Linked DNA regions of Mus musculus. Each later gene encodes a partner of the first gene's protein in a complex. Links are inferred from orthologs where the notes say so. Each region holds a gene or a part of one and is shown on either strand. Other genes may lie near its edges.

Evidence for each region. Proteins that work in one complex are often made in the same cells at the same time.
Region 2: Prpf3 (region 1) and Lsm7 share a complex: the UniProt entries of both Homo sapiens proteins name them as parts of the precatalytic spliceosome. The link is inferred for Mus musculus from reciprocal best matches to the Homo sapiens genes PRPF3 and LSM7.
Region 3: Prpf3 (region 1) and Prpf6 share a complex: the UniProt entries of both Homo sapiens proteins name them as parts of the U4/U6-U5 tri-snRNP complex. The link is inferred for Mus musculus from reciprocal best matches to the Homo sapiens genes PRPF3 and PRPF6.
Region 4: Prpf3 (region 1) and Ppih share a complex: the UniProt entries of both Homo sapiens proteins name them as parts of the U4/U6-U5 tri-snRNP complex. The link is inferred for Mus musculus from reciprocal best matches to the Homo sapiens genes PRPF3 and PPIH.
Region 5: Prpf3 (region 1) and Lsm3 share a complex: the UniProt entries of both Homo sapiens proteins name them as parts of the precatalytic spliceosome. The link is inferred for Mus musculus from reciprocal best matches to the Homo sapiens genes PRPF3 and LSM3.

Annotation. Positions count from the first base shown.
Region 1 is NC_000069.6:95,835,386-95,838,885, reverse strand, and holds part of Prpf3 (U4/U6 small nuclear ribonucleoprotein Prp3), read left to right. Parts: intron 1-2,328; coding exon 2,329-2,472; intron 2,473-3,142; coding exon 3,143-3,242; intron 3,243-3,360; exon of another isoform or gene 3,361-3,418; coding exon 3,419-3,500. UniProt on the Homo sapiens protein: Plays a role in pre-mRNA splicing as component of the U4/U6-U5 tri-snRNP complex that is involved in spliceosome assembly, and as component of the precatalytic spliceosome (spliceosome B complex).
Region 2 is NC_000076.6:80,852,410-80,856,575, reverse strand, and holds Lsm7 (U6 snRNA-associated Sm-like protein LSm7), read left to right. Parts: upstream 1-1,366; 5' UTR 1,367-1,389; coding exon 1,390-1,395; intron 1,396-1,419; exon of another isoform or gene 1,420-1,515; coding exon of another isoform or gene 1,516-1,551; intron 1,552-1,864; coding exon of another isoform or gene 1,865-1,867; coding exon 1,868-1,958; intron 1,959-2,746; coding exon 2,747-2,818; intron 2,819-3,475; coding exon 3,476-3,618; 3' UTR 3,619-3,751; downstream 3,752-4,166. Other genes in the region: Sppl2b (signal peptide peptidase-like 2B), read right to left, coding at 1,188-1,235. UniProt on the Homo sapiens protein: Plays a role in pre-mRNA splicing as component of the U4/U6-U5 tri-snRNP complex that is involved in spliceosome assembly, and as component of the precatalytic spliceosome (spliceosome B complex).
Region 3 is NC_000068.7:181,599,970-181,604,118, forward strand, and holds the start of Prpf6 (pre-mRNA-processing factor 6), read left to right. Parts: upstream 1-1,349; 5' UTR 1,350-1,491; coding exon 1,492-1,562; intron 1,563-4,149. UniProt on the Homo sapiens protein: Involved in pre-mRNA splicing as component of the U4/U6-U5 tri-snRNP complex, one of the building blocks of the spliceosome.
Region 4 is NC_000070.6:119,317,724-119,321,760, reverse strand, and holds the start of Ppih (peptidyl-prolyl cis-trans isomerase H), read left to right. Parts: upstream 1-1,237; 5' UTR 1,238-1,286; coding exon 1,287-1,352; intron 1,353-1,527; coding exon 1,528-1,592; intron 1,593-1,907; coding exon 1,908-1,931; intron 1,932-2,196; coding exon 2,197-2,241; intron 2,242-3,174; coding exon 3,175-3,217; intron 3,218-4,037. UniProt on the Homo sapiens protein: PPIase that catalyzes the cis-trans isomerization of proline imidic peptide bonds in oligopeptides and may therefore assist protein folding. Participates in pre-mRNA splicing.
Region 5 is NC_000072.6:91,514,656-91,518,834, forward strand, and holds the start of Lsm3 (U6 snRNA-associated Sm-like protein LSm3), read left to right. Parts: upstream 1-1,379; 5' UTR 1,380-1,402; coding exon 1,403-1,423; intron 1,424-2,392; coding exon 2,393-2,503; intron 2,504-4,179. Other genes in the region: Xpc (DNA repair protein complementing XP-C cells homolog), read right to left, coding at 1,051-1,144. UniProt on the Homo sapiens protein: Plays a role in pre-mRNA splicing as component of the U4/U6-U5 tri-snRNP complex that is involved in spliceosome assembly, and as component of the precatalytic spliceosome (spliceosome B complex).

The sequences.
Region 1 (3,500 bases):
TTTCAAGAGATAGGGGTGGCTCATTGGGTAAAGCACTTGCTACACAGATGTGAGAGACAGACAATCCCTAGAACAAGCATCCTGCCTCAGTGTACAAAGTGGACAACAGTCAAGGAAGACTCCAATTAGCCTCTGGTCTACATACACACAGGTACATACATGTGGATATGCATGCGTGTCTGCACACCACACATACAAAACAAGTCAAGTTTAAAAGGCTTCCAGGGTTTCTGAAACTGGGAATATAACTCAGTTGGTAGAATGCTTGTCTAGCATGCATTAACTCCTAGGTTGGATCTCAGCCCTACATAATCCAAGTATGGTGCCATACACTTTTAATGTCAGCTCTCGAAAAGAGATGGGGGGATTGGGGATGGCTAAGTGGCTCAATTGGTAAGAGCACTGACTCCTCTCCTGAAGGCCTGAGTTCAAATCCCAGCATGGTGACTCACAACCACTCGTAATGAGATCTGATGCCCTCTTCTGGTGTGTCTGAAGTCAGCTACAGTGTACTTATGTATAATAATAAATAAATCTTGAGAGGGGGAGAGGGAGGTGTGTGGGGGGGTTGAAGGGAGACTGGGATATTAGAAGTGCAAGGTCATCCTCATCTACTGAATTCAAATACTGAATTCCAGCCAGCCTGAGATACATGAGGTCCTATTCAAAGAATCATTTTGGATTTTGTAGTATTGGCGATCTTAGGTTTTTAGATTAGGGACATTCAGCCTCTAATACAAATTAAAAATAGGAACTAGACTTAATCAGATTTTATGTAGCTGCCATAAGTATTTGTCAGAGGAATATGAGGATTTTTTTTTTTAAACAAACATGCTTTAAAAGTATAGGGATTTCTTTTTTTTAAGTTTTATTTTACTATCAAGCCCATTGGTGGAATTAGAGTGAGGTTCCAGCAAAGGTTTATTACTAAGAATCTGTATGTGTCTGGGGTGTGTGTGTGTGTGTGTGTGTGTGTGTGTGTGTGTGTGTGTGTCTACAGATGCCCTTGGTGATCAGAAGCTGGAGCTACAGGGGCTTGCTTGTCAGCCACCCAAGGTGGGTACTATAAAGTTGGATCCTCAGCAAGAGCAGTGTGTACTTTTTTAAATAATAAAGTTATTTTTTATTTATTTTTAAATTATTTATTTATTATATGTAAGTACACTGTAGCTGTCTTCAGACACTCCAGAAGAGGGAGTCAGATCTTATGGTTGTGAGCCACCATGTGGTTGCTGGGATTTGAACTCGGGAAGAGCAGTCGGTACTCTTAACCACTGAGCCATCTCTCCAGCCCCAATAAATTTATTTTTATGTAGGTGTTTATGGGGAGTTGGACAATGTGCGTGTATGTGGGTATATGCCAGAAACATACATATATAGGTGCTTTTGAAAGCCAGATCTCCTGGAACTAGAGTTTAGAGACTTTTTTTTTTGTTTTTTGTTTCTGTTTTTTGTTTTTTGAGACAGGGTTTCTCTGTATAGCCCTGGCTGTCCTGGAACTCACTCTGTAGACCAGGCTGGCCTCGAACTCAGAAATCTGCCTGCCTCTGCCTCCCGAGTGCTGGGATTAAAGGCGTGCGCCACCACGCCCGGCTAGCAGTAAGTATTCTTAACCACTGCACCATCTCCAGCCAGCTTCTTCCAGAGGGTTTCCTCCATTTCCTAGTACTGAAATTGAGCGCAGAGGTTGTACAGTAGTTAGCATAGCTGCATTGCCGACGCAAAATTTATTGTTATGTAGGTTAGGGAATTTCAAATTGTATTCCATAGAAGCAGCAAATTATAGAAAGTAGGACCCAAGTGGAGTTCTGGATTCTTTTACTTCCTCAGATTCTTAGCCAGTGCTACTGTTTGCATTTGCTGAAAGTGAACAACTTCTTAAAGAAAAAACATTTATGAGCCATAATACTTTCACTTAGTAAAAAAAATTATACTATCAGTCTCACCACTTAAAAATAACAAATAGCCAGGCGTGATGGTGCACGCCTTTAATCCCAGCACTCGGGAGGCAGAGGCAGGTGGATTTCTGAGTTTGAGGCCAGCCTGGTCTACAGAGTGAGTTCCAGGACAGCCAGGACTACACAGAGAAACCCTGTCTTGAAAAAACAAAACAAAACAAAACAAAACCAAATAGGTCAAGCACAGTTAGTGGATGCAGGTGATTTCAGCAGTTTTGAGGTGGAAGCAATAGGCCAGTCTGAGCTACAAAGCACGACTGTCTCTCGACCTCCTCCCTCAGATTTTAGTTGATGGTTTTTCTAAGTGATGCATACTCACCTAAATCCCTCTATAATTTATGCTTTGGTAACTCATTTTTCTTTTTAACAGTTGACAATGATACACCAGTTACCCTTGGGGTATATCTTACGAAGAAGGAGCAGAAGAAACTACGGAGGCAAACAAGAAGGGAAGCACAGAAAGAGCTACAAGAGAAAGTCAGGCTAGGCCTGACACCTCCTCCAGAGCCCAAAGGTATGTGCCTGCTGGCCTGCTACCATAGAGTGAGTGAGTCAGTCAGTCTGTCTTATAAAGGCACTTTAATGTCTTTGATGGTTTTTCTGAATCATTTACAGGATTTTTTTTAACCTGTGATGTTTTCTTCTGGCAGAACAACACATTCATTATAGAAGTCATTTAGAGCTTGTTTTTAATTATTTTTTGTTGTTGATGGTTGTTGTTTTTTGTTCCTGCTCTCAAGCACTGCTTATTTCAAGTCTGCTCAAAATTCACATTTTACAATAATTCCTACATTGAAAAATCTTACCTGCTTAACTCAGATTTTATAGTAGTTCAAACTATCTAAAAAATTCAGTATACTTATATCATAAAAAACATAAAACTTAATTTCTTATTTCTCATTTCTCATTCATTGGCATTAAAAATAAATAAACTCCACAAATATGCAACTATTGTTTTCTTGAGTATATAAATGTGTGTGTGTGCATATATATGTACACACACACACATTTATACATATAAACATACACACACACATATATGTGTGTGTTTGTATATATGTATGTGTATATACATATATAGAGGAGGCAATATACCTAGAAATAGTATATATAAATACTTTATCCTAGCTAGAGAAGTAATTTAAGAGATTAGGAGATTGATTGCTGCTTTCTTTCCATTGTAGTGAGAATCTCAAATTTAATGCGAGTATTAGGAACAGAAGCAGTTCAAGACCCTACAAAGGTAGAAGCCCATGTCAGAGCTCAGATGGCAAAGAGACAGAAGTAAGTGGGGTGCGGTAGGGTGGGATAGGGCAGAGCCCAGGACACTACCTTTCCAGACCCTCCTGGGGTTGGTATTGGAGGGAGGAGAGAGTCCTCTGTTGCTCTCTCTTTCCCTTAGCCCTGCCTCTGATCGGCAATGCCTTTCTCACTTGTGGATGTCCTTCCTGTCACGACAGAGCGCATGAAGAGGCCAACGCGGCCCGAAAACTTACAGCAGAACAGAGAAAGGTCAAGAAAATTAAAAAGCTTAAAGAAGAC
Region 2 (4,166 bases), on another chromosome or scaffold:
AAAGAGGGCAGTTTCCAGAGGACAGTGGCCTGCTAAATATGATGTAGAGCCCTGGCCCACTGGCCAGATGCAGCAAGCCCTGACACACTTTCAAAAGCTCATGCTCAGCCAAGAACAGGATGTGGGGATAAAAGCAGCCAAAGAGAGATGTTGGCCACATGGTGGAGAGCCCAGGAACCACATGTGTGAGGAATGCCTTAAAGCTTAGCCAATCAAGGAGGCACATGCCAGCCAGTTGTGGCAGCACCGGGGAGGCTGAGGCAGAGCTGCAAGCCCACCGCCAGCCTGGGCCATACAGGGAGACCCTGTCACAAAAGTCTGTAATCTCAAAAAGGAAAAGAAAAAGTATTTTTAAAAATGACCTGGGCTCTTGTTTCACAAGACAAGAGCGTACACAGTAGCAGGACGCACTGGCCACCCTTCAAACCGGCCCAAGACCCAAGGATGCAACACTCCAGGATCTGGGACTGAAGGCTGGAGCCACAAAGACAAAACAAGAAAGGACTCTACTAAGCCAGGAGTTGCGATGCGGCGCGTGAGATAACTAGGCCGGTGTTTTGCTTTGAGTTCCAGGTTAGCCAAGCCTCACCGGGTGCACAGGGACAGCCAGGGCAACATGGGAAGTCAGAGCCCAGCCTGGACTGCAGAGCGAGCTGGAGGCCAGCCTGAGCTGCGGAGCAAGTTGGAGGGCAGCCTGGACTGCAGAGTGAGTGTGAAGCCAACATGGGTTACATAGTGAGTTCAAGGCTAGCCTGGACTACGCCGAGTTCGAGACCAGCATGCCACCTCTCTCAGAAAGCAAAGCACACCAGAAGCCAGCCTCCTGCCAGGGCGCACCCCGCGCACACCTGAGGCGTCCCAGCAGAAGCTCGTCCCCAGCGTTCTGCACCGACCCTGAGGTGGGGACCCCCTTCCGCCCAAGGTCACAGAACAGAAGCCGGGGTGCCGGGCTGCATGCACCTCGGGGGCCGCGCTGGACGCCCCGGGGATGGAGCGCGGGAACTCGCCCCATTCTGCAAAAGGGGAAACTGAGGCTGGCAGGAACAGCGGCGGCGGCGGTTGGGGCCCCGGGGCGCAGGGCGGGCTAAGCCCCGCCAGAAGTCTGCGGTGGCAATGAGCGAGTGGACCGCAAGGTCAAGGGCACGGTCAGGAGTTGGGGGGCCGGGCCGATCGGCCGTGGCGCTCACCTGGGCCGCGAGTAGCAGCAAAGCTGCGGCCAGCCGCGCCGCGGCCATGTCCGCCGGTCCCCCCGCAGCTCTAGGCGGAAGGTTTCCTGGCAACGCCTTCGGGACGCCGCAACGTGCTTGCGCCGAGGCTGCGCGTGCGCAAAGGCCTCCGCGTTAGAAAAGGGCGGGGCGGCGCCTGCGCAGAGCGACGTGAGGCGACAAGATGGCGGTGAGCATGTCTAGATCGTGGAAAGCAGGGCCGCGGGATCGAGGGTCTGTGGAAGCGAGAGCAGAAAGACTGAAAGGAGAGTGACGGACGCCCTAGAGTAGGGAGACAGGGTGCTGAAGGATGGGAGCCACGTGGGACTGCAGACGGAAGCCATGGGTACAGACCAGGTGACATGAAAAACAGACGACCGACATGAGGATGCAGACGCGGAACGTGGGGGTTGCAGACCAGGCAGACAGGGGTGCGTACAGGAAACAGTGCAGATGGGGTATCCAGGGATGCAGATGAGGACGTGGGCATGCAGACAGAAATGCAGACTCGGGCATAGCATTCAATTAGGCAGACACTGGAGGTGAGGATGCACCCAGGGTTCTGGGAGCCTGAGTTGGAAAGGAGTCCCTGGGTGCCATGCCCAGGCTACAGGGATATGGGGAGGCTGGACCTCTCTCCTCAGCGCCCCACCTCCCAGCAGGACAAAGAGAAAAAGAAGAAAGAAAGCATCTTGGACCTCTCCAAGTACATCGATAAGACCATTCGGGTGAAGTTCCAGGGTGGCCGGGAAGGTGAGTGCCTACCGCAGGGCTCCCTGACACAGAGCTTGGCTGAGGTCACAGCAAGCAAGGGAAGCCACCTAGTACAGGCGTTCCAATAATGGCTTGGGCTATTGTGTACCATTGAAAGGTATGCCCCTATTGTGGGTGGGGAAACAGAGCCCCAGGAAAGGAGTCAAGTGAGATTAGCACCCAGACCAGTATGGATGGATCCTGAAGGAAGGGGCCAGGACCCACGAGGAGGTGGAAGGAGGTGATAGGAAGCCCTGTTCTTAAGCACCTGGACACAGCAGGAACCTGGAAGGTTTCCCAATGAAAGGATTGAAAGTTCCAGGCCAGTTTAAGTTATGTAGCAAGATCTGTCTCCAAGAATCAACCATGGGTGGGGCTGTATGTCTGTGGGTAGATTGCTGGTTTAGCATGCATAAAGCCCTGAGTTCTATTCCCAACCCCGTGTAAACCTGGCGTGGTTGTATAAGCCTGGCATTCCAACACTAGGGGTAAGACAGGAGGATCAGGCTGCCTAGTGAGTCTGAGACCAGCTTGGGCACATGAGACCCTGGGGGGGGGGGGGGAGACTGTTTCAGATTGCATGGATGGGTGACAATAAAGTTTTATGGACACTATATAGCACCTTCCATACTGGAAAGAAGAGGGTTGGAGTCACAGTGACTAGGCCACCACACTTACTTACTCATGAGTTCTGTGGTGGCAACTGTTCCTGAGCTGCCATACCAGGTTCTATATGTGTTACGGGGTGGACTGACATTCTTCTCCATGTCTCGCCCGTGTTCCTCAAGCCAGCGGTATCCTGAAGGGCTTTGACCCACTGCTCAACCTGGTGCTGGATGGGACCATGGAGTACATGAGAGGTGAGCCGGCCGAGGTTGTTGTAGGACGGTGCTGGGGACCTGTGGGGTCAGATTACAGCAGGTGGTGACTTAGGGTGCAGTGTTGGAACACCAGAGGACTGGTGTGCTTGCCGGGAGGGCCTCAGGCTTGAGACTTCCAGCTCACTCTCCTCAGGTAGCTGGCTTTATCCTCAGCCCTCAGGACAGCAGGAATGGTGGCCGCTGTCCTCGGCCAGGAATGTCTACCTGCATCAGAGACTCCAAGGCTCACTGGATCTCAGCTCTGTATAAGCAGGTCCACCCTGTAGTGCCCTGAGCAGACCCCTGCCCCCCACACCAGGTTTCCTGTCTCCAGCCCTCGTGACAGTTATGTCTGACTGCTTACCAGCTCCTCCTGTTGCCCACCCTCTCCAGTGCATCTGCTGCTCAGTAGATGCCCTTGGTGTTTACGGGGTCAGCATGGGCTCTAGCGTTCTTGAAGTTGGAGATGTCTGGCTCCTCCCTCAGCCACCTTCGTGGTTCTGTGGTTTAGACTCTGCTGGTCAGGTGTTTTGAGAGCATCTGGATCTGTCAGTCCCCAGAAGCTGTGAGTGAGAACTCTCAGGCCCCTGAGGTCCCGGCTGTGGCATGCCTATGGATAGATATGCACCTCAGTCCTCTTGCCTCTCATCCTACCAGACCCTGATGACCAGTACAAGCTGACGGAGGACACTCGGCAGCTGGGGCTTGTCGTATGTCGTGGCACCTCGGTGGTGCTCATCTGCCCACAGGACGGCATGGAGGCCATCCCCAACCCCTTCGTGCAGCAGCAGGACACTTAGCAGCAAAGGAGAGCGGTCCAGCCCCAGGGATCTTCCTTCTATGGGGTGAACTTCTGTGTGATGTTTTGGTCTTTTGTTCTTGTTTTGTTTTGTTTTGTTTTTTAATAAAATTGCCCATGTGAGCATCTCCCTCCCTTCCTGCTCTGTAACTTTGATCTTTGGAGAAGCCAGAGCCATGGAGACACCTTGATCAGACACCGTGGTCCAGGGCAGAGCACAGCACAGCCAGGGACTAGCACAGGGATGGGAGAAACCTGGACGCCTGGTCCCGCAGCCCAGCCGGCTTCACCTGGTGGGCTGTGGCAAGAAGACCACACCTAGAAACACCAGAACCTGGTCTTCCTCCATATGGCATCCCCTTAGCACTGGCCCCTGCCTGTTCTCTCTGCCCAGGGGAACCAGGAGGGCCTGAGAAAAGGATTGGCTAGCAGGGAGCCTGGGCCCTGAGGTTCCTCAGGCTGGGGTGCCTCCCTAAAGCGTCTGCCACAAGAGAAGCAGCCCAGGCAGGGGCTGGGGCGGGGCCAGGGCGGGACTCTGTGCTCCTGTGG
Region 3 (4,149 bases), on another chromosome or scaffold:
TTCAGTTATTTAGGACCCACATCAAGCCACATATCTGCCATGCATGAGTGGGGAAACCTAGGTTCAGCCGGTGTATGTTCCTTGGTTGGCGGTTCAGACTCTGAGAGCTCCAAGGGTCCAGGTTAGTTGACTCTGTTGGTCTTCCTGTGGAGTTCCTATCCCCTTCAGGACCCACAATCCTTTCCCCTGTTCTTCCATAAGAATCCTCAAGCTCAATCCACTGCTTGGCTGTTGGTGTCTGTATCTGTCTGAGTCAGCTACTAGCTCATTCTTTACTGGAGTATTTGCTGACCCTCATTTACGGACCACTTTGCTTTGAACTTCAGGCAATACTCCTATCTCTGTGAAGCCCCTCTGTCAGGCACAGTTCCCTGTGGGTCAGTGTTCACAGACTCAATCCTGCTCCTCCCTAAAAACCTGTCTAGGGAGCCAGGACTGCTTTAGTACCTCACTGAAAAGCATTGGCTGTAGAGGCCTGGTTGTCTGATCCAGCAGAGTCCAGGCTGCACAACTTGCAGTTTTTCCTGTCGGCCCTAGAGTCTGGTGCTCTCCCCATGTGTAGGAGGTGTAAGACAAGTGAGGCTGAGAGGCAGACTGTCTCAACGGGCTGAGACTGCTTTATTTAAACACTGAGGGCCCCTAACCTAAAAGGGCTGGGACATACACACAGAGTAGCTACCAGGAGTTTACAGCTATTTTTGAGGTTTAACTCGGAGCAGGGTTGTTTCCCAGGGGTGGCATACTGCTTCTGCAGGTAGACATCGCCGAGGCTAAGCAACTTTTTATAGCGTGGGGTTAATGCCCTGTACAGCCTAATTCACGGCCTGAAGCTATTATTACACAACAGGTGGGACTGGCATTGTGTTTCGGGAGGAGCTGCACACAGAAAATATCTGTGCAAAGTAGAGTGGTGTGAGTCCACTCAAGCCACTGGGCACACAATCACTCCCAAGCTTGTGACGCTGGCCCACACACTGTTGAGTGCACTATACATCTGTCCTCAGAAGGCGCGCGGGGGTTGGAGTGGTCCCGGATCTGATGGCGTAGTCTGGACCGTCGGTGGCCGCATACGGTTCAGTACAGTAAGGCTAGTCTGAAGTGGTTATGGTGGTTGAACTAAGTGGCTTCGCAGCCTTGCTTGCACCGGAACGCTCCTGAACAGGACTAATGCGTTCCGGCTCCGCGTCAAGGCTGGCATGAAAATCGAACCCACGTCCTTGTGGCGCGATACCGAATACCGTCACGCGCACGCGCGTCTTCCCGCAACAAACACTGCACACAGCGCTGGCCGGAAACACTTTGCAAACCCACATCTTTGACTTCCGCCCGAAGCTCTAGGTGGGCGGGGCTTTCCGTGACCCAGCTCTCTACTTCCGGTGCGCGGGTGACGTAGTGCCTGCATCTCTTACTGCTGCGACACCCGGAGGACTCTGAGTCTTCTGTCGTATACTTGCTCCCCTGCTTTTCTGTGTTTCGGTCAATAACACCGCCATGAACAAGAAGAAGAAGCCGTTCCTGGGCATGCCTGCGCCGCTGGGCTACGTACCCGGGCTGGGCAGGGGGTAAGGCAGTGGGGGGGAGTTTGCCCCGGGTAGGGTGCCTGGTGCCCTGGAACACAGCTCGCTCTTGGCCTATTTGAGAACGATTCTGGACTAGCAGCCACTAGAGCTAGAGAGACCGCGTCTCAAAATAAAACAAAAAACCAGGGGCTGGAGCTAGTGGCGCACGTCTCTAACCCCAGCATTGTTGTGGGGGGTGGGTGGGATGGGATGGGGCAGGGGCAGAGGCCTTCGTTTTTAAGTTAAGAGACCAGCCTCGTCTACATAGCGAATTACAAAACAGCCAGGGCTACACAGCGAGTTTCAGGACAGCTAGAATTACTTAACGAAACCTTGTCTCAAAAACAAGGTTAACTTTCACCGCCACAACTAGGTAATTTGGCATAATGCCTTTCCGACAAAGTGGGTATGCATGTATGTATGTATGTGTCGAAATATGTAGGTTCATGAGGCCTGACTACCACTCTAAGATATGACTGAGGGGTCTGAATCTCAGTGTCTTGGTGTCTGAAGTAATATCCGTAAGCGAGTTGGCTGTAAGAAGCAGTTGAGTCTTTGATGTATACAGTAAGAGTGTGCTATACCTTTCTTCCCTTAAACATTTTTCTCTAGGATGTGTGGCTGTAGGTCACCTGTTCAAATTCTCAGCCGTCTGGACAGAGATGGCAGTGCCACTAGTCATAAGGTGTTGGGTAGATGAATAGTATTTTTCCTACTTTTTATGCATTTGATTAGGGAAACATAAGTCTTCCTTGGTAATGGTAGGAGAAGGGAGGCATTCACAGCCGTTTTCAGAAGACTTGCAGTTCACAAGACAAGTTCGGTATTGGTATAAATAAGCACAAAAAGTAGGACAGAAGTCAAGAGATATTCAGCAGTGTGGCATTTTAGTTGGGTTTACGAAGTGTCAGATTTTGGGGGAGTAAAGGAAAAACGTGGAATTTGGTATAGGCACATAAAAAGGCAAGTAGGTGGCTGGTGAAGTGGCTCAGAGGGTAAAGGCTCTGTCAACCCTGAGTTTGAGTTCCCAGAATTCACGAGGTAGGAGGAGAGAACTGATTCTCTGAAATTGTCTTCTGACTTCTACAGATATGTCAGGTCACACGCACACACTAAATAAATAAATAGTTTAAAAGGGCAGCTGAAGATGTAGCTGAGCAGTACTGACAAAGCCCTGGGTTTGATTCCAATGTCTTGCCCAACCTCTTTAAAGAATATAAAAGGGATTAGAGAGATTCCTTAGCAGTTAAGAGCACTTACTGCTTTTGTAAAGGACTTGAGTTTGATTCCTATGACCCCTGTCAGGAGACTCACAGCTTGCTTATAACTCCAGTTTCAGGGGACCTGATACCCTCCACAGCCACCTGCATGCATGTGGTGTTGTTAAATACACAGCTTCACACACATACACATAAAAATAAATGCAAAAAGAACAAGGTCAAGCCCAGTGGGGCTAGATTAAAAAAAAAAAGAATCCAGAAGAGTGGGAATTGCAAGAAGAAGAGCTGGAAGTCACAGGGACTTTAACATTAGGCTAGAGTTACCTGTTGTTAGTTTTTTAAAAACAATATCTCAGATGCTTCATTTTACCAATGAAGAATCAGGAGTCAGATGTTGGGGTGAAAGCCTGCTAGCTCAGAGAGCCAGAAAAAGTACTCAGCTGACCTTCCTCAGCCAGTACCGAGAAGAAATCCCCCCTCTCTTTGCCTTCTCAAAAAAACCTTTCAAACTGAATGTCCCTCCCTTCTACTTCCTGTGCATCTCTCTATCTGTCCTCCTGGCTCTCTCTTACTCTGTTTTTTTGTTTTTGTTTTTTTCTCAATAATCCTAGATTCACTTCCTGTCAATTGGTTGCTTGCTCTGCTTCTTGACCAATGGTTGACTTTATTTAATCCTGTTTACACTATTCAAGCAGAAAGCTCTTGGATTAAAGCGTGTGCTAAGACTGAGCCACAACACAACGAGAAACAGGTTTTTCCAGTTAATAGCATAATTCAGTTCATAGTGTGACAAATATCCTGCAACATTTACCCCTTTTTGTCTAAATGAAAAGGAAAGGTTTTAACTGTAATACAGCAAAACTATTGACAATAATGAAGCTGTTTCTACCAAGCTTTCCACAGCTTGTTTGTATTTAGCAGTCTTAGGATTAAGTATTTTGAGTTCAAAGTTCTGTAAAATGTTTGTTTCAGTCTTATATGAACTGAGCAATTTGAATGTCCTCAGCAATTTTGTAGTCCAGAGCTATTTTTGAGTGGTGTTTGTCAGCTTAGTGGTAATCCTGGCTTGGTAACCCAAAGGAATCCACTGTTTGCACAGAACTTGGTGGTAGAAGAGGCATGGAACAGTTTTGCTCAGTGGTTAGCATTACCATAATCCAGGTGGATTCATTGTTGCAGGGCCCATCTTTTTGGAGACCTCAAAAGTTATTGTTTGGAACGGTCACAGTTCATTGTAGCAAACTTAAATGTTTAAAATGCTATATTCAGCAGATCTTTGAAAGGTTTGAGGACCACAATTTATCAGATACACAAACTTCGTTCCTGGTTATCTGCTTCAGACTCAAACCTGAAAACACATACAGGAAGCT
Region 4 (4,037 bases), on another chromosome or scaffold:
TGTAACAACCAGGGCTGGAGAGATGGCTCAGTGGGTAAGAGCACTGACTGCTCTTCCGAAGGTCCTGAGATCAAATCCCAGCAACCACGCCCTCTTCTGGGGTGTCTGAAGACAAGTATAGTGTACTTACATATAAGTATCTTTGGGCCGGAGCAAGCATGAGAGAAGGAAAAGAGGGGGGGGGGGTAGCAACTGAATGCCCTCCAAAACAGAGGCAGAAGGGTACTTGGTAAAAGTGGTATAAGAGAAGCCAGCCTTTACTTCCTGGTCTTTGCTACCAGCAGTGGCAAACAGCATTTTAAATAGGCAAAGCCCCATACGATTTACTAGCCTAGAGACCCATCCCATGGGCAAACAACAATCCCTGAGACTGTTGTGCTTGCAGACAGGAACCTCGCATGGCTGTCCTGAGAGACTCCACCCAGGAGCTGACTCAGGGATGCAGAGACCACAGCCAAACATCCGATGGAGCTTGAGGACTCCTGAGGGCCTCCGAGGGGATTGGAACTCCACAGGAAAACCAAGAGTCAACTATGACCCTTGGGGCTCTCAGAGACTGAACCACCAACCAAAGAGCATAGACAGGCGGGACCTAGCCCCCTCCCACACACACACGGTCTTTCATGTGGGTCCCGAACAACTGGAGTAGGGGCTATCCCAAAAGCTGTTGCCCTGCTGTGGAATTCGTTTCTTCTGCTTGTCTGGACTCAGTGGGAGAGGATGAGGCCAGCCCTGCAGAGACTTGATGTGCTAAGGTGGAGGGAAAACCAGAGGGGGTCTCTACCCTCTCAGAGGAGAAGAGAAGGAGGGGGTGGGGAAACCGGGAGAGGCGGCAGCACTGGGGATGTAAATGTGAATTAAAAAATAAAAAATTTTACAATCATAAGAAAATAAATAAAATTACATTTCCAGCACCCGACTGAGCCAGGCTACAGTAACAAACCATTTTAAAATATGGAAGGTGACTCAGGGATCCTCGGCTCATGAGCTGTGACAGGGGACACCAAGTGTGACTGCTCAGGACATGCTGTCTGCAGAAGATTCATTTCTATTGCACTAATACAGTCATGCAAGTGGGGAGCCCACAGACTTTGACAAAGATGCCTGCGTTTCCTCCCCTCAGCTCCGACCAGCTCAGCCAAACAGTACCATTCCCAACAACCTCAGCGCGCGCCACACTTCCGGGGCGGGGCGCAATCGCGGTCCGTTTCCACTGCGTCTGCGCTCCGGATGAAGTTCGCGGGACCTGCCACCGGAAGCCGGGTTTCTACTTCCGGGTCAAAGCCATGGCGGTGGCAAATTCAAGTCCAGTCAATCCAGTGGTCTTCTTCGATGTCAGCATTGGCGGCCAGGTGAGGTGCGGGCGACCTAGCGGCCCGTGCGGGCTGGTTGGCCTCGGGTAAGGGAGGCAGCCCCTTATAGCCCTCCCGAGACCGGCTGGGCCAGGCGGCGGAGGGAGGTGGGAGCTTTCGAGCTTCGTGGACAGCGGTCGTGAGCTGAGTGTTGCGTCTCCCGTTTCTTCTGCAGGAAGTTGGTCGCATGAAAATCGAGCTCTTTGCAGACGTGGTGCCTAAGACGGCAGAGAACTTTAGGTAAGGATATGCTCCAAGTGAACCAGAGCTGAGCCCGAAGCCGGCCTCCAGTCGGTCTTTGCCATGTCTGCCTCTGTCCATCTATTCATTGCCTTGCAGCTCTGTGGTCTGGGTATTTCACTGGCCAAACAGCTACCGGCTGTGACTGATCCCATATCAACTTCTATCACTAGTCTACCTGCCCTGACATCCGCCCGATCAGTTAGTTGGCGGACATACTGGCCCCAGTGTTTGAACTCTCCTCTCCAGAGATTAGAGGTGCTTCAAGCAGTGATCGTACGAAGGCTAAATCGTTTGCTCTCTCTTTCCCTTTAGGCAATTCTGCACCGGAGAGTTCAGGTCAGTCTCAGATGTGTTTGATTTCTCTGCCTACTCCTGAAGGGGTGCCCTGGATGTTTGGTGAGGGTATTGGAGAACCATGAACAGGTCTTAAGTAATGGAAGATGATATGCAGAGAGAGGGTGACACCTTGAATGGGTTCTTTCTCTCTCTTTTTCCCCCTCCAGATCTTAGTGAGAGCCCTTTTAGCCTCTGGTGTAGCCTAAATGGGAAAGGCCCACCATTGTGTTTCCCCATTCCAAGTCTCTTCCTTCTTTGTTTACAGAAAAGATGGCGTTCCGATAGGATACAAAGGAAGCACCTTCCACAGGTAAGGGAGGTTTTTGGAAAACTGGAAATGCAGTCATTGCTTGGTATCTGTACAGGCAGTCCTGCACACCTGAGTTCAAACTCTGTGAGGCTTACGGCTGTTGTTTTAAATGGCATGTTCGCGGCTGAGGCTGTAGCTCGGTGGTAGAGAATTGGCCCAGCATTCATAAGGCCCTGGATTTGGTACTGAACACCATGAAGCCTATGCACAGCGCCTTAAGTCATCCCTGACTTGGTGGAATGCTGTATTGCAGAAACGATGCCAAGGAAAGCATGCTGTACCCTTTCAGTACCTGTTCAGTACAGGTGCGTGGCCACGTGCTCCCAGAGGTCTAAGCTCAGATCCTTAGGCTGCCACAGCAAGCACTTCACCCACTGACCCATCTCCCTGGCGCCAGTCAGGACTTCAGCAGAGGCTTTGCTAGTTACCGTTGCTAGGCAGTCATCTGTAGGAGCCTGGCTTTCATGATATATTTACTTATTTTTTGTTAGAGTTTGACAGAAGTTGCTCTATTCTAATCCTGAAAATGTCCATGTCTCCCACATAAGGGCTTTAAAGCTACAGTCTGTAACCCTCCCTAGCATTCTTGTGAAGTAGTATGTGTTTTCCGAGTTCTTCAAGGAAGGCTAAGCAAAGCGAAGGGCCATAGCTGGTGTACTAGCTAACACCATCAAGTCTCTGTGTGTGCAGTAGTCCATTCACCTAGATTTGCTGTTGTTCTTTTCCCCCAAATTGCAATAAGCCCTGGACATGATTTTTTCCTTTGGTGACTGTTGGTGATTCTAGCCTGGTTTCAGCCCCTTCCTGATGTTCAGGTGCGAACTCACGCATCTAAGATCAACTGAGTTAAGACTGTACTTGCTCGCCCTTTTCTAAGCTTCAGTGATTAATCCACTGAATCTTTTCTCAGGATTTTTTTTTTAACTGTTTCAGGGTCATAAAGGATTTCATGATTCAGGGTGGAGATTTTGTTAATGTAAGTACTGCTTCTTTTCTTTGTTATTTTTTTCTGGCAGGGCCCTAGTCTTGAGACTTAAGAGCAATAGCTAAGTTAAGTGGAGAGGGCATGGGATGTACTGTAGAGTTGCTGGCTACCACTGACTGTGTCCTTAGAACACATAACAATACTCTACTGAACCATAAACTTCCACTTTCCAAACCCTAGCTGTTTGTAACTAGAAACTGGGCTTTGCTGGCATACCTATAGGTGATCTGAGACGGTCCACATTCATTGTTCACAGAAAACTTTGAAATTGACTGCAATTTTTCCCTCAAAAGGAAGGGAGCTGACTGCTTTTGTCTCCCATTTTTCCTTCCACATCTGCACATCTTCTGTCACTGTCTAAAAACTCTAGTTTTTTGTTGGATTGCTCTGGGGGGGGTTAGGGGCCGGTCTTTCTTTCTCTTTTCCTTTTGAAAGCTAAGGTATTAATCACAAGCTGGTTAGCAAGCAAGGGATCAGATCAGGAGAGACAGGAAGTTTAAAGGGTGTTCGCTTGCTTGCTGAGGTAGCCCAGCAGATCCATTCTTCACAAAAAGACCATGACTGTTGGTGTCTCCATCCTTCCTTGGAGTGTGTCCAATAAGCTAGAATATCTCTTTCTTAAACCAGCTCTTTCCTTACCCATCCACCTCTGTGCATGCTGTCTCCTTGCTGTTAGCATTGTTTATGTGGGTGTGTTACTAAGTCCTTTTGTCTGAGAGATGGTCTTACTCCATCAGTTGTAAATTTAGTTAGATTTTTGTGAGTCTTTAGAGGTCTTCCTCCTACACAGGGTTGCAATGGCAGGCTTTAG
Region 5 (4,179 bases), on another chromosome or scaffold:
GACTTCTAGACCAGCCAGCTGTTTAAATAAACAGGAAAAAAAAAAATCAAAATAAGAATATCTGAAACGGAAAGATCCAGATTTCTAGGCCAGCCTGCTGTTTAAAATAAACAGGAAAAAATCAAAACAAGAATATTTGGAAAGGAGACAGAATTGTGACAGCCTCTAAATCCTGTAGGAAACCAGCTAAGTGAGGAAGATGCTATACTTGCAGAGCGCAAGTCTGAGGGGGTTTTAGATAAGAAGACAGAGGCATGAGGTTTTGTTGTTCTACATCCGTTTGGCTGCTAGATGATGACCTGAGGCAGACAGATGAGAGGAAGCCAGAAAAGAAGCAACGTGAAGTTCACTTACTCAATTGTGGACAGGATCTCCAGCTATAAAATTAAAGAGAATTAGGTACAGATTTCATTGGTTCCGAAGCTGACTGGACTTGCTGCCGAACTGGCAGTTAAGAAAAGGTGTGATTTATTGAAATGGAACAACTGGAGGATGGATTTGTTTAAGAGGGAAGATGGAAGTTTTGCTTTGTTCAAGATCTAGGTAAGAAGCGCATTCTAGCCAGGGCGCAGTGGCAGACACGGGTTAATCCTAGCTCTAGGGAGGCAGAGACAGGTGGATCTCTTGAGTTTGAGGCCAACCCGGTCTACAAAGTAAGATCCAGAACAGCCAGGGCTACACAGAGAAACCTTGTCCGGAAAAACAAAGCAACAACAACAAAGCACATCCTAAACTCTGGAGTTACACTGGATGGCAGTCGGGAATTTGGAGAGAGATCTCGCACGCACTAGAGTCTCCCTCCGTCTTGGTTTTGGGGTCTCCTTGAGACACCTGGTAACTGCGAAGCTTTCTGCTGCTCAGCCTTCAACACTTGCTTAGAGGCTGAACTTGGCTCTAATGGTTAACAGAGGGGTTTAAGGCTGATAGCAGAGGCCCTCGGGGACGCCGCGCACCCGGCCGTGGAGACCTTGCCACAGGCGCAGATCCGCTCCGCCGCCCGCACCAGCCTCAGCCACCACTGCCTGGCATGTTGCAGACTCGGCCTCTCACCCGCAACGCTCTCCTCGTGCCGGGCTACTTTGTTGTCCTCGGTTTTCTGGCCCCGCTTCCGCCGCCTTCCGTCTGCGGTGCGCTTTGGGGCCATGCTAGCCAGAGGCGTTCCTCGGGACTACCGCGCAGGACGCCGCAGGTCTCCGCGTGCCCGCCCCGCCCGGAGGCGGGCCACGCCTGGCCGCGCCCCCAGCCCAGGGTAGGACCACGCCCTCGAAGGAAGCCCCGCCCCCATGCAAACTACGAGGGCGCGAAGGGACAAAAATAATATAGTTCGCCTTCAGTGCGTGGCGGCCTAAGGTTTCTGAGTTCCTGTTCCCGCGAGAGGTGGAAAGGGCGCAGCGTTTGAAACATGGCGGACGACGTAGATCAGGTAAGTTTGACCTGAGGCGTTCGAAGAGGAAATGCTTTCGCTTCTCGCTTTTTCCACGCTTCCCGTGGGATGGCCCTTTTCTTTTTTTCCGAGTCACCACGGCCTTCCGTAGCCGGGCCTGCTCCTGAAACCTCCGTAGGCCCAGAGTTTCTCAACCCGCCCGTCTACCCATCGCGCTCGTCGTCGCCCTTTCTCTGTAGAATGAATGCAGGCGGCTGGAGATGCCCATCTCTGGGAGCTAGCTGTCGGGATTCCGACAGAAAGCGGGAGGTCGTAGCAGGACACCAGTTTAGCAATCCGAGTGAACACGGGGGGCACAGGCAGTGGTTCCCTTGGAGTGAATTACGAGGGGAGGTCAGAGGAAAGGTGCAGTTCTAGGAGATGGAGAAACTGCTAGAGATGGAGTATGAAGAAAACAAGCAAAGATCTGGTACACAGGCCAACAGAAGGGCCTACGGGCCTCTGCACCTACCCTTCCCTATTTCTTAGGTAGCTGGTGTACCTTGGCCACCAAAATGTCTTTCACACCCTCACATGCACACACAGCCCCTGCACACACACACACACACACACACACACACACACACACACACGTACGTACGTGCTACCCTACTGTGTTTCTCTCCAGAGCATGTTGTTTTAAATATGTATAGCCCCTGCACACACACACACACACACACACACACACACGTATGTACGTACGTACGTGCTACCCTACTGTGTTTCTCTCCAGAGCATGTTGTTTTAAATATGTATTTATTTAAAGTGTTTCTTCCACAACTAGAGTGTAAGTTCCTTAATGGGGATTTATTGGGGCTGGAGAGGTGGCTTGGCAGATAAGAGCGCTTGCTGATCTTGGAGACAACCCTGGTTGTGTACTAGCACCCACATGCTGCTCTCTCAGCTGACCAGTGATTGAAACACCACCCGGCCTCTGTATCCTATGAGTAAGCCTTTGCCTTTCCTCAGCAACAGACCACCAATACCGTAGAGGAGCCCCTGGATCTGATCAGGCTCAGCCTGGATGAGCGAATTTATGTGAAAATGAGAAATGACCGAGAGCTTCGAGGCAGACTACACGTAAGTCTGTTAAAACATCTCAGAGCCAGAGGCTGCATCCTACCTCCTTACAAATTAGAACTGCAGTGTAAACTTACTTTTTTGAATTTCTTTTGGGAATTGGAAAATCCTTCTATTCACTTTTAAAATATGTTTTCCTTAACCAGAATGGTTTTTTAGAGAGGGGTGGGACTCCGGTGAGACAGAACAAGGCATCTGATCCCCTGGAGCTAGAGTTACAGACTGTTGTGAGCTGCCTGATACGCTCAGGTCCTGTTCAGGAATCCAGTGCTCTTAGCTTGAGCATCTCTCCAACCATAGAGAACACTTTCGTTTCCTTCAGTTTTGTCTTCTGCTTATTTATGAATAAACTTGTTTGTTCTCTTGGGTTTAGACAAGGTCATACTAGAAAACCTGGCTAGCTTCAAACTCCAGCTCCCTCTGCCTCTCTCCTGAGAGCTGGGATTACAGACATGCTCTTCATTCTTGGCATTGTCCTGGATTTTTTAAAGTTATTGGATAGGGTATTTTAGCTTTTGACATATAAAGCTCTGTTTTGTCATGAAAAGAATTAAATAGCAGGCTAGAGATAGTTTGCCTAGCATGCGGCAAAGCCCCTACCCTAGCACTACCCAAAAAAAAAAAAACAAAAACAAAAACAACTTCATAGAAATGGGTAAAATTAAAGGCGAAGTTCCATTTTTCTCTATGTCTGACCACTGTTCAAAGTTGGCTGCATAGTCGTCTGCATGTGTATATGCCACCTGTGTCTGAAGGGGAGCCTAGTGAGGAACGGAGGCATGTGCCATGGTTCCAGTACTTAGAGGACCAAGGCAGGACGATCATATATTTGAGGCCAGTCTGGCCTACATAGTGAAACCTTGTCTCATATGTACACACTTTTTTCACATGTTTTTTGTGTGGAATAATTACACAGCTGACACAACGCCACAGGATACAGGATTCTGTGTCAGACTTCAGTCTCCCCCCCCCCCCCCAGCTATAAAGCTGCAATGGGTACTTTCACAGATATTGCTTGTGCACATTTATATGTCTGAGGAATTGGTCCCATCATTGTGTACTTAAGGTTTTGTCTCCTCTTGTTACTTCCCTCAGGGCTGTTTGTTTACAACAGGAATTGAAATAAGTCTTTTAGTTCAGGCTTAGAAATTAGAAACAACCCTCTACTGACAGTGACAGAGCCACTGTAGGGGACCAGGCCATCCCACTTCAGTCTCAGTCTTAGAAATTCATGTTCTTTCATGAAACCCAAGGATAAAGAATTGATCTACAAGCTGGCCTTGTGGGAACAGCAGTGTCAGTTTGGTGAGAAATGTGGGATGATGCTAAATTGCATGGCACTCTGGTGCACGGAATGATCCCCAGGCCAGACTGTGGCCTCTAACTTGGAGTTGTCTGCAGCTCTTACCTCTGCAGTAACGGCCCAGCTTTCTGTTTCCTCCCTGCTCTCCAGATGAGTTGCTCATTTGTGTAGCTGCCAAGCAGTTCCTTCCCAGTGTGGCTGTTAGGCTATTTTTAATCTTGATATGAGCAGGCAAAAGCGCTTAGCACTTTGTTAGAAGAACATGCAGTGGGTTCTGAACAAGCCCCAGGAGGTTTGCTGTTTAGTAAAAGGAATGAACTTTGGAGATTGCACTGAACACTGCGGTTGAAATCCTTCCTGATTGAGCCCACAG